Bombyx mori: one gene and its partners. The main gene of each other region encodes a partner of the protein of the gene in region 3 in a complex. Links are inferred from orthologs where the notes say so. Each region holds a gene or a part of one and is shown on either strand. Other genes may lie near its edges.

Evidence for each region.
Region 1: SAGA-associated factor 29 (region 3) and protein Dr1 share a complex: the UniProt entries of both Homo sapiens proteins name them as parts of the ADA2A-containing complex. The link is inferred for Bombyx mori from reciprocal best matches to the Homo sapiens genes SGF29 and DR1.
Region 2: SAGA-associated factor 29 (region 3) and transcriptional adapter 2A share a complex: the UniProt entries of both Homo sapiens proteins name them as parts of the ADA2A-containing complex. The link is inferred for Bombyx mori from reciprocal best matches to the Homo sapiens genes SGF29 and TADA2A.

Annotation. Positions count from the first base shown.
Region 1 is NC_085110.1:7,486,855-7,490,970, forward strand, and holds the start of protein Dr1, read left to right. Parts: upstream 1-1,315; 5' UTR 1,316-2,250; coding exon 2,251-2,491; intron 2,492-2,598; coding exon 2,599-2,762; intron 2,763-4,116. UniProt on the Homo sapiens protein: The association of the DR1/DRAP1 heterodimer with TBP results in a functional repression of both activated and basal transcription of class II genes.
Region 2 is NC_085111.1:1,075,849-1,079,227, reverse strand, and holds transcriptional adapter 2A, read right to left. Parts: upstream 1,837-3,379; 5' UTR 1,829-1,836; coding exon 530-1,828; 3' UTR 520-529; downstream 1-519. Other genes in the region: cysteine-rich protein 2-binding protein, read left to right, coding at 1,837-1,929. UniProt on the Homo sapiens protein: Component of the ATAC complex, a complex with histone acetyltransferase activity on histones H3 and H4. Required for the function of some acidic activation domains, which activate transcription from a distant site. Binds double-stranded DNA.
Region 3 is NC_085125.1:4,972,692-4,976,942, forward strand, and holds the start of SAGA-associated factor 29, read left to right. Parts: upstream 1-1,343; 5' UTR 1,344-1,382; coding exon 1,383-1,449; intron 1,450-1,510; exon of another isoform or gene 1,511-1,525; coding exon of another isoform or gene 1,526-1,553; exon of another isoform or gene 1,554-1,646; intron 1,647-2,191; coding exon 2,192-2,298; intron 2,299-2,706; coding exon 2,707-2,853; intron 2,854-3,355; coding exon 3,356-3,481; intron 3,482-3,954; coding exon 3,955-4,179; intron 4,180-4,251. UniProt on the Homo sapiens protein: Chromatin reader component of some histone acetyltransferase (HAT) SAGA-type complexes like the TFTC-HAT, ATAC or STAGA complexes.

The DNA of each region.
Region 1 (4,116 bases), on a different chromosome or scaffold from region 3:
GGTACAAATTACAACGAAAAAGAGGTCAATTGGGATGAGAATAAACGAAATGGAAACGACCTAAGTACAAATAGGTACAGGTTTGTAGGGTTGTCTATGTAGTTATAACAATATTATTTAAATTTGTTGGTAAAAATCTAGTTTATTCATGATGTTTTTGTCTAGAACTTTTATTCAAAATTATCAATGTGTTATTTTATTGTTTGGTAAATATTTATATTATAAGTTAGGTACGTATTGTTTTCTATTTTTAGATATGCCTCGCGTGTACGTATCAGAATGCAAAGCCTTATAAAGAGATATGATCCCTTAATATTAAAAACAGCAATAGAAGCCTACGAAATTGGGAATAAGTCTTTAGTTGAAATAGCTAAGCAATTTAATATAAGTAAGTCGATTTTGCACAGACATGTAACAAGAACAATGAAATCTCAAGGTGGACAAAAATGTCTAAGTAATATATCATAACATATATTAATATTTGTCCAGAGTGGGGGTATCCACCTGATTAATCTATGGAATAACGGACACACCTAATCTCTTAACCCAGATAAAAATATCAGGCCCTAAGTACTTACTAAGAATGAAGAAATATAAACCGCTTATAAGAAAGCCCGCTCGTTCGAGTTTAGGCGCTTACTCTCCCTTAAACAGAATCCTTTGGGACTACAATAATGTCCACGGTAGCGCGGTCTCCGTCAATGCTCATTCGTAGTTGTCCGATTGCGCTGAACTAACTTTAAGTGATGAAATAGATGTTTTTCTAATTATTTCACAACTTACAGGAAAAAACTGTCGCGGATACTTTCCCAAGTAAATATAAATTAATCACAAATAATTAAATGTAATCAAGTTTTATATATTATATTTTTTTTATTGTTAATGCACTGTCGATTGCACCTATAATTGAGGTGACATCTGCCATGTACTTTTGTCAGTTTTTCAATGTTTTTTATTGATGATCACTTTGTTGGTGCAACTAAATAAATTAATTAATTAAAACCAAGTAGTGCCAACCCTAGCAAATTTCTCATTTCGTCCCAATTAACCGCAATTTCCGGGTAAATAGGGATTACACCTATTTTTGCTTTTTTTGCTTAAACTGGAATGCTAGTTGCATAGTTTTAAATTGGACAACAAAGATGCCCCCAAGACTCCATCATTTTGATCTTGATATAGCATTATATACATCAACAACTACCTTAAAATTGGTCATAAAGTTGGAATTTGTCCCTAATCGCCCCATTTTACCGGTATATCAAATATATTAAGTGTATAATCTATGCATATTATATTTGAGAGTCAAAGTTGGACTTTTTGGCGGGAACGCGAGGAGTGAAGTTGTGTGATTTGTTTTATTTTGTCTATTTAGTGTTTCTTCAGGTTTAAATGTGTAATAACGGTGGTTTATTAACTGTTTAATATCTGTGAAAGTGCACAAATGTGGGAAAATGAAACAAAGCTGCTGGACGTAACTTCTCGGATTCGTCCAAAAAATCCACTGAAAAAATCTCAGTAAATGACCACCATTTTACTGCGATTATATTTCATCCCATATCATCTCATTTCATTAAATTTCATGCCAGTTGATTAATGTTTCAAATTAATCATCTTCATTTCATTTCACTCCATATTATCATTTTTCATAAAATTAAGAATATAAAGTAAAATAAGACATGACTTAAAGGTCTCAGTTACCAGGTCATAAAATCTCTTAAAAAAAAGAGTAAAAGTGAAGACTTTTTGGCGGGAACGCGAGGAGTGAAGTTGTGTGATTTGTTTTATTTTGTCTATTTAGTGTTTCTTCAGGTTTAAATGTGTAATAATGGTGGTTTATTAACTGTTTAATATCTGTGAAAGTGCACAAATGTGGGAAAATGAAACAAAGCTGCTGGACGTAACTTCTCAGGTTCCTCCAAAAAGTCCACTGAAAAAATCTCAGTAAATGACCACCATTTTACTGCGATTATATTTCATCCCATATCATTTAATTTCATTAAATTTCATCCCAGTTGATTAATGTCTCAAATTAATCATCTTCATTTCATTTCACTCCATATTATCATTTTTCATAAAATTAAGAATATAAAGTAAAATAAGACATGACTTAAAGGTCTTAGTTACCAGGTCATAAAATCTCTTAAAAAAAGAGTCAAAGTGGCCCAAAGCATAGATTATACACTTAATGGCCCAAAGTGGCCCAAAGGCTACCACAAAAAAATAGAAGTGGGCGTTCATAAATTCGTTACCATGGGAAGTCCAGAGCGTGAACTTTGTCCACCACCTTCAGAAGAGGACGAACTGACTCTACCAAGAGCTAGTATAAATAAAATGATAAAAGAGTTAGTGCCTTCTGTTCGTGTAGCGTTCGAGTCAAGGGAGTTAATCCTAAATTGCTGCACTGAATTCATACATTTGATTAGTTCTGAAGCCAATGAAGTATGTAATCAAAGCAATAAGAAAACAATTAATGCAGAACATGTCCTTACAGGTATATATTTCACTATTGTTAAAAGACAATTAATATTATCATAAGGAACACGAACATATTTTTTTTACGAATTTAACTTTAAGCTTCAGTATCAAACTAATTTTCAGCCCTAGACAGATTAGGATTTAGTGACTACACAATAGAAGCAGAAGCTGTCTTAAAAGATTGTAAAGCAGTGGCGGCTAAAAGAAGACGACAAAGCACACGCCTTGAGAATTTAGGCATTCCAGAAGAAGAATTATTGAGACAACAACAAGAACTGTTTGCAAAGGTTTAAACAATTTAAATCAGTATTTTCTTAACCATTATGAAATTCAATAAAAATGTGTCTGTGGTCATGATTTTGAAATGAAAAAAATGAAGTAACAATCTTACCAAACCAATCAGACTAATCCGACATATGTAATAAACCCTATTTATATTATAGAGCAATTATGTTTCAATTCATTTAATGTAAACATTAGATGTGGATTTGTTGATCTTCATACAAACTGGTCAATAATAAATTGGTCTCTAATGTCATTTAAACAACATAAGGATGGGATTGTTATATAGACCATACAAAAAAAAACCAATTTGATTCAATTTAATTCAAAGTAATCACCCCATTTAAATGTCAGCTTAAGCTTCATACTTTAGTCCTTTCTACTCAGGAATGTACAGGAACTTTTAGAGAACACTTATTAACCTAACCCTTTGAGGTGTAACAGCAATCATGCAATACAAGCTGTTAAACAATACAATTGAGGCTTCAATCAAGGTTCATATAGAACAAACTCGAGTAAGCACTTTGTAATAACCTAGATGTTGTATTTCTTAAGCTTTGGGAAAATAAGTAGGAAAAAAGTGTTCATAAAAAAATATGGAATCGAGCAAGCCCCTGTATTTGATATCTTATTTTGTTAGATATGTTAACAGGAGACAGAGTATGATAAAACCACATTTTCATAATTACTTATGGTCAATATGAGAACCAATTGTAGATATTATTTTAATATAATTATATCTCATGGCAAATAGTTTGTGTATATACTGGTTTAACTTTTATGACTGGTTTAACTTAGTCCATGTGGTTTTCTTAATTTTTAATCATTAAATCAAATTTCTCTCCGAGAAATGACCTCTTATCCTTTTATATATCGACGCTTGAAAGGCAAATGTGACTAAGCGACAATGCGTGAACTTTACAGTAGACTAATTTAAAGTTGAAATACCTGACAACAAAATTTATTTTAATGAGTCTAGCTGTAGTAGAATCTAGCTAGTAGCTGTAGGATTGAAATTATTTTAATAGACCTAGAAATATATATTTTTTGCAAGTCGAATATGGTTATTGCCTATCATTTATGTACAAAGCAGTTATTGTCGCTTAGTCATGTTTGCCTTTCAAGCATCAATATGTTTTAAATTATATATAAAAAAAAATATTTTTTCTTATAAATCCTCCATTAAAATATACGTCATTATCTTATTGCCATCTAGTGGCCGACGCTCGTAAACAGAATGTGTGAGAAACGACCTAGCTCACTATCTCCCTCTCAAAGGTCTAGTGGTTTGCGAGACGATCTGTCTATTTTCTCATTCTCGCTCCTCTTAAATTGTATCTTTTCTCTCAAGCTGTAACG
Region 2 (3,379 bases), on a different chromosome or scaffold from region 3:
AATATCACTCAATGTATTGTAATTATTATGTAAACTTATCTGGAGTTTTACAAAACTGCTTCACGCCAGAAACATGCTGATGCATAGATTAGTCTACTATTTCAAAGCTACTAAAATTTTGACCTCATACCTCATATTACCAATGTATCTATGTATCTAACTATTTTCATCGCATTTTACACTACCACATTATTTGTTGATAATGAATCCAAAAGTAACATTTTGTGCACAAAGAACAGACAAACAGACAACGTGAACTATGAATATTTCATTTCTGCAGTTGGGCTTCTGAGCTCACACCCAACTCACCTATCCCAAAGTATTGTAATGTCACTGCTCTCACACTGTTCAAGTTATATTGAAAGTATGAATACTTTAAGACTAAAATAGGCACATTAGTGGTAGAAATACACACAGGCTAACAATACTTTGTTGCATAATAATTTTCGATTGATAAATAGTTGACAAGTGTGTGTATCTGCAATTCAGCATAGCATATGTGGTGTTAAATGATACCAATTTGTCATAGTCACAATGGTTTACTTATAAAACCTTCATATAACAAATAATCATAAATTTTCCTAGTCTTATTTACATCTATTTTAACAATTTTCCTTGCATCTAAAAGTCGTAGGAATCCAAGCTTACTGTTCTGAGCTATAAGATGCTCTTTTATTTCCAAGTAGTTTGTTGGTACAAGCCTCAAATTAGAACATAGTACTTGTTCAGCCTCACTCAGCCTGTGGAAACCTGGCAAGTCAATTATTTCTAAGGGCATTGCCATACGCTTGTAACGCAGCACTTGGTGGTTTTTTGTGTACATAGTCTTCACTGGTGATTGATTTTCAAATTTCTTGGCCATAACACATGTAGCATACTTTTGTTCTTTCATGATTATGTCATTTTCTTTTTTAAGTTGCTTATAAAGTTTGGCAGTATAAAGAGTTTTTATACCATTCTTACGGTATTCACATAAATGTCCAATTCTCTGTAACAGCTCGTTCTCTAAGCTCATGGATTCCATGAAAGCGTCAAACTGTATTCCTGTCATGAACTGCATGAAGCAAAGCAATCGTTCTGCTTTCTGTCGTGTTATAGTGAGGTCAAACTTTTGGATCCATGAGAAAAGCTTATTTGGCATTACTAAGCCATGATTCTGTATAATTTTATACCTTCTATGTCTTTCTCTTAATCTTGTATTAAGAGCATTCACTAAAGACACCTTTAAAGAATCCATCATGTCCATTTCATCCTCATCCTCATCATCATCTTCAGAGTAACTGTCTTCAATATTAAATATGCTTTCAGCATTGTGATCATAACTGAATTCAAATTCAGATCTATATGTATTGTAACCAGCTAAATGTTGATCTGAACTGTTATTTCTAGGCGGATTAGTGCTTACATCTGTATTGTACAAGTATGGAGTAATTGGCATTGGAAAAAGTGACTGTTGTGTTTCCTTTAGTAATCTCAATTCTTTATACTGCACATTCTCTATGTAATATTTCCTATAATGCTCTTGACATTCGAGTTTAGAACGTGTGTGCACATTCTTAGATATTTCTTCCCAATTTCCGAATCCGTATGTAGAAAGTGCTGATAACAATTTGCACTCTTCTTTAGCAGACCAATTGCAATTACCGAATAATGGAAAATCATTTCTTCTTATCGCGTATTTGTGGTCATTTTTATGCATTTCTGTTTCCTTGCCGGATGAAAAACAAGGAGTGCAAACATTGCTTTCGCACTCGCAACATTCGATAAAAGGCTCGTGTGCGACTTCTGAACACAAATCGCAGTTCGTTTGTAGTATATCTCTGGACATTATTTCAGGTTGAAGAACTTATACAAGACTTTTATGAGAAGTACTACGACATCGAATACAAGGGATGCCGGCACGCGCTCTTTCTTCGACTTGTCAGATAAATAAAGTAGTACTTTAAAAACCTTTATTTTATTTACAAACAAAACCTAATAGTCTAACTATCACTTACCTATTGAACAAACTTCAAAAATTCAAAAACAAAAGAACTAAACACCTACATTTCGATAGAACTTCACGCACAGATCAGTTGTTTATTGGTTTACAATAGAAGATAGTGATTTTTTTCTATTTAGTAAAACCGGTTAAACTATGTAATGTTAGGGATTACTATTTCAGCAAACGTTTAGAAAATACAATATTTAAGTAAGTACGGTTCCTACATAATAGTAGTAGTTTTATTTTTTCAACTGAAAAGTCAATGGTATCATACCATACAGCCTAATCTTTTATAATTCATTTTATATGAAAAATGATAATATGAAGTGTAATTAAATGAAGTTGATTAATGAAACATGGCATGAAATGAAATGAGGTTGGATAATATGGGATAAAATATAATCTCAGTAAAATGGTGGTCATTTACTAAGACTTTTTCAATTGACTTTTTGGAAGATCCCGAGAAGTTACGTCCAGTGCCTTTGTTTCATTTTCCCACATTTGTGCACTTTCACAGATACTAAACAGTTAATAAGCCACGTTATTACACATTTAAATCTAACAAACAAATCACACAACTTCACTCCTCGCGGTTCCGCCAAAAAGATCTTACCTTTTTTGTTCTTGCCCTGTCATACATACATAACTTTATTCAAAATAACTACATATCTCGGTGAGTAGGGATGGTGATCAGGGATTGATTTCTGTTTAAATCGATCTTTTTATCATTATAATAGCCAATCCATCTAGGACATTAGCAAATCAAAATGCATTTGCAAACAGGTTATCATCATATCATGTGTGAAAATCCATTATTATTGGAAAATGAAATAAAGTTGCTGAACGTGACGTCTCGGGTTCTTCCAAAAAATCTATTGAAACAACGCAAATTGATGACAATATCAGTTAATAAACAAATTCATTTCAATCCGATCCATTCCATTTGACATCAAAGCATCGATATTAAAAAAGTATTTTAAAGTCGGTGCTGGTGACATTACACGGAAAATAAAAAAAAAGCGAATATCGAAAAAATATATTTATGGGCAGTCGATTTTCTCTTTTTCGAGAAGAAGGATCATTCCTACTTTTTCATATATCTGTACTTATGTCTTTGTCAACGTTTACTATGTATCACTGCTAAATATCTGTTACGACTTCATACTTAACTCTTAGGTGTGTACTTATAGGTAAGGAGAACTATCTTAAAATGAGAGACAAGTTGAAGAAGCATCCGGCTGTAAGCAGCAAATTGCAATTCAGAAAACTCATTAAAACAGGGCTAGTGTAGCAAATGGATGATGTAGAAATTGTAAGGGAGTGAAGTATGCTTAGTTGAAAAACTTTCTGGGCTATCTTTAAAATTACACCACTGCCTACGATGGCGCTACCCTA
Region 3 (4,251 bases):
AAGTCAGAACCCGGATGAGGTAGGGGGGCTACCGCGGTCAACACTACAACCAGACGGCGTGGCTCACCCCAAGGACGCCCAGCCGACGGAGCCTTCGAGGCGAATCGAAGGCTCTGAAACGTCGGCCGTCTCGGTACGGCAGCCCGTCGGGCCGCCCAGACGGTGCCGCTGGTGTCCCGGAATACCCCGCTGGACCAGAACCAGCCTGCCGGGTCGGGACGCGATACACCGTCGACCGGTCGCTCTATTTACTCCACGGCAGCGCGCTAGAGTGCTGGTAGCGCGCCGCGCGGCCTCACCCCCTCAGGTCGCCCCTTGACCTTCACCGGGGGGAGGCCGCTACATACAGGGGCCGGAACGTACGGGCGTATTCCCGCCTCCGGCCCCCGGCTCGACGGCGACGGATTGGTGCGGAAAGGGAAGAGCTCTCCCTCTCTCGCTCCGCCGCCTCCTTCTGCGAGATGGTGGACTCGCAGAAGTCGAGCATCGCCTTCCAGGACGCGTCGCTGCCGAGCATCGTAGCCACGACGCGCGGCAGCGAGAGGTCCTCTCCTATGACCGCGACGAGGGCGGCGCGTTGCTCGTCGAATCCAGAGCAACGCGCCAATGTATGTTCCGCTGTGTCTTCCTCGTCGCGGTCCGCGCAGTGGTGGCACTGCGCCGTCGGTTCCCTTCCGGCTATCTTGAAGAGGTACCGGCCAAAACACCCATGGCCGGTCAACATCTGCGTCAGCCGGAAGGTGAGGCATCCGCGGGATTTTATAACCTGGTAACTAAGACTTTTAAGTCACATCTTATTTTGATTTATATTTCTTATTTTTATGAAAAATGATAATATGGAGTGAAATAAAATAAAATGAAGATGATTAATTTGAGACCTTAATCAACTGGGATGAAATTAAATGAAACAAGATGAGATGAGATGATATGGGATGAAATATAATCTTAGTAAAATGATGGTCATTTATTGAGATTTTTTCAGTGGACTTTTTGAAGGATTTCGAAAAGTTACGTCCAATGGCTTTGTTTTATTTTCCCACATTTGTGCACTTTCACAGATATTAAACAGTTAATAAGCCACCGTTATTACACATTTAAACCTGAAGAAACACTAAACAGACAAAATAAAACAAATCACACAACTTCACTCCTCCCGTTTCCGCGAAAAGTCCCTTATATAGGTAGGTACACTAATAATATAGCATAGATTTTTTTTTTGGTACAATTTTTCCTTATTAGGAAAGGCAAGGGGATCTAAGCCCAAACAGCCTTTACAGCATAGATTATACACGATAGTATGTACCTACACTGTAATAAAAATAAAACAGCTCTCGCATAATTGAGCTTTCTATTTTGTAGTTTTGACTTTATTAAATTTACTAATGGTTACTATACCAAATTGGTGCAAAATCATCATTTCGGTAAAACTATTTCCACAATACAATATCGGTGTACCAACTTGTAACAAACCAACAAATAACCATTATTGAAATCTGCGTCCTTATAGCGTTAAAAACAAAACAAAATGGAATGTTTATTGTTTATTTTATCATGTTTGTACTTGAATTCGATTTGCTTAAAATTACCAATATACAAATTTTAAATTTAGCTATCTTAGATGTGTACAATATAAACTTAAATTAATGGTACTACATACGTTTTATCTTGTACACATATTTTTATGTATTTACTTACTGTGAATGGAATGAAATAAGTACATTATTGTATTAAATCTCGCAACTTGTTTTGCCCCTTGTGAAAGGCCTTCTCCAAGTCACAGAGTCCTTTTTTATTTTACATTGGTGTCAAAAAGCTATCTATAAATACAGCCAATCAATGGAAAAAAGTAAAATAAGGAAGATAAGTTCTAATTACCTGCTAGACAGAGAACACACACAGAGAATTTCAATGTTTACTGTTTCTGTACAAATCTTGTCTTGCAATTGTACAGATTGATTCCCCTCAATGGTCATGTTTCCCCTCAAATGTTGAAGCTTATGTCTGAATTGTTCATTCTTCATGTTCACAGATCATCTATTCATTTACAATTATTTTAACATATAAATACATATATCATTTTATTAATGGAATAAAGCAAAGAACATCCAAGAAAGCTTTAAATAAAATTGAAGATTCATACTCTTCATTTGCTGTACTATAGACACTAACATAGTTTTACATGATTTTCCAGGTAATAGTGAGTATCAGCTGGATCCACACTATATATTTGAGTTGGAAACTATCGAATATTGTGAAATAATGCCTCTCACAGCTGACGTTGCTGCACAACAAGTACAGGTGTGAAGGATCAAGTGTGAAGTGATCATTTACTTAATTTTATATCATCATTTATAGACGTACAGATTGTAAGGAAACTATTAACAATTGAGCATTACTATTTTCTTATAATTAATACCTATGTAACCAGCAATGGGCCTTATGAGAAGGCTCAAGGTCACCCAAAGAGCAATGGAGAGGGCTGTGCTCGGAGTTTCCCTGCAAGATCGAATCATAAATGAGGAGACTTGCCGGATAACCATGGTAACTAACATATCCCAAAGGATTGCGACATTGAAGTGGCAGTGGGCAGGGCACATTGCTCGTAAAATGGATGGCCATTGGAGCCAAAAAGAAGATGTTACCAGCCAATAGTATTCAATGTACCTTTAACAAAACCAACTAATATTATGTTGTTTTTGTACACAGGAAAGATTGAGGTCATTACACAGATTGATTTATGATATAGAAGCGGAGAGGTCTCGCAATGAACAGTGCATAGATGCCATACTTAGAGCTGAAAAATCTACAGGATCTCCTTCGAGTGCTGATGATTCATCAGGATCTTCCCAACAAGTGATTATAAGATTTTTAACATTCAAATTGTTCAATACATTCATATAATGCAATAAAGTTCAATCATGAAATTAAAAATTTATAAAAGTACATAATAATCACCTACTTAGCTTCAATAACTTGAATACTTTTGTTGCGTCCATCTTCTTAAATTGTTTTTCAATTATTCTCACTAGGTTACACTTTATTATACAAAATCTGTATATCATGAAAATCAATTAATTAATAAATAATTAATTTTATTTAAAATATAATACTATAAGGTATGTAATTAAAATAGTAAATGTTCCAGTGGGTTTTCGGGAAAAGCTTAGAAGATACTCATCTTAAAATTGCTCTGTAATATTGGCCCAGACAGCTGACAGTCAATCCCATGTTACATAAGCTAATCGACACCACCACCACCCCAACAAACAAGAACTACTACTACTCATTGTATCTAATGAAGAAATGTTGATTGTTTTTTCCCGCTAATGGTTATTAAAATATTTTTGTTTAACAGGTTTCGCAGCTTAAAAGTTTATATAAATCGGGCTTAACAGCTGCCGAACAAGAGGAAAGACTACTTAGAGCTGCACTGTCAAGGATTTACGAAATACGTGCAATTAAAAATGAACGTCGAATTCAGGTATCAAATCATATTTATTGATGAATATAGGTTTGGTCCTGTAATATCTCACAGGCCTGTTCACATGCTAGGACCAGCATAATATGCCAGTGGCAGGCAGCGACAGTCAACAAGTACAAAGGCAATAAAAAAAAGTGTGTGTATGCAAGTCACACACGGTAGAAGCTAAACTTATAAATAAGATATAGATATACTGACTATCCCACTACACAGGAGCATACATATGGATAATGCTTAGTAGACGATAGTGGGGATGCTACGAAGAGTCGCACAAAGAGGAGACCGAGAACGTCTAATGTGTTCTATCTCATTCTATCGCCGGCTTAATCCTATACATTTATGTGTTTGTGTCTCTATGGACTAATTTTTTCGTTTCATCGACTTTGAAATCACGATTCTAAAGAAGATTCACTTCAATAAATAAAAAAAGTTTGGTTTTGAATCTGTAACGTAGAGTCGTTTCGTTGCGGCAGGCTCGTCACGCGGGTAACAAGGAGACGATCGGTTGCGGGGCGCTGATGAAGCTGCTCCTGAGTGCCGCGCAAACGTTGCCGCTGCACGTGGGGCGCGCGGGGGAGCGGGCGCCGCCGCTGTGCGGAGCGGTGCCGGCCGACGCGGGGCACGTCGCTCGACCCGGGGACGCCGTCGCCGCGCTCGTGCGGGTCTCCGATAACGAGGACAACTGGATATTGGCCGAGGTGCGTGTAAACAAACTTCCAATACACTGCAAACGTTTGGAGTGAACGTTATGGTTATGCACCTTAAGCTTG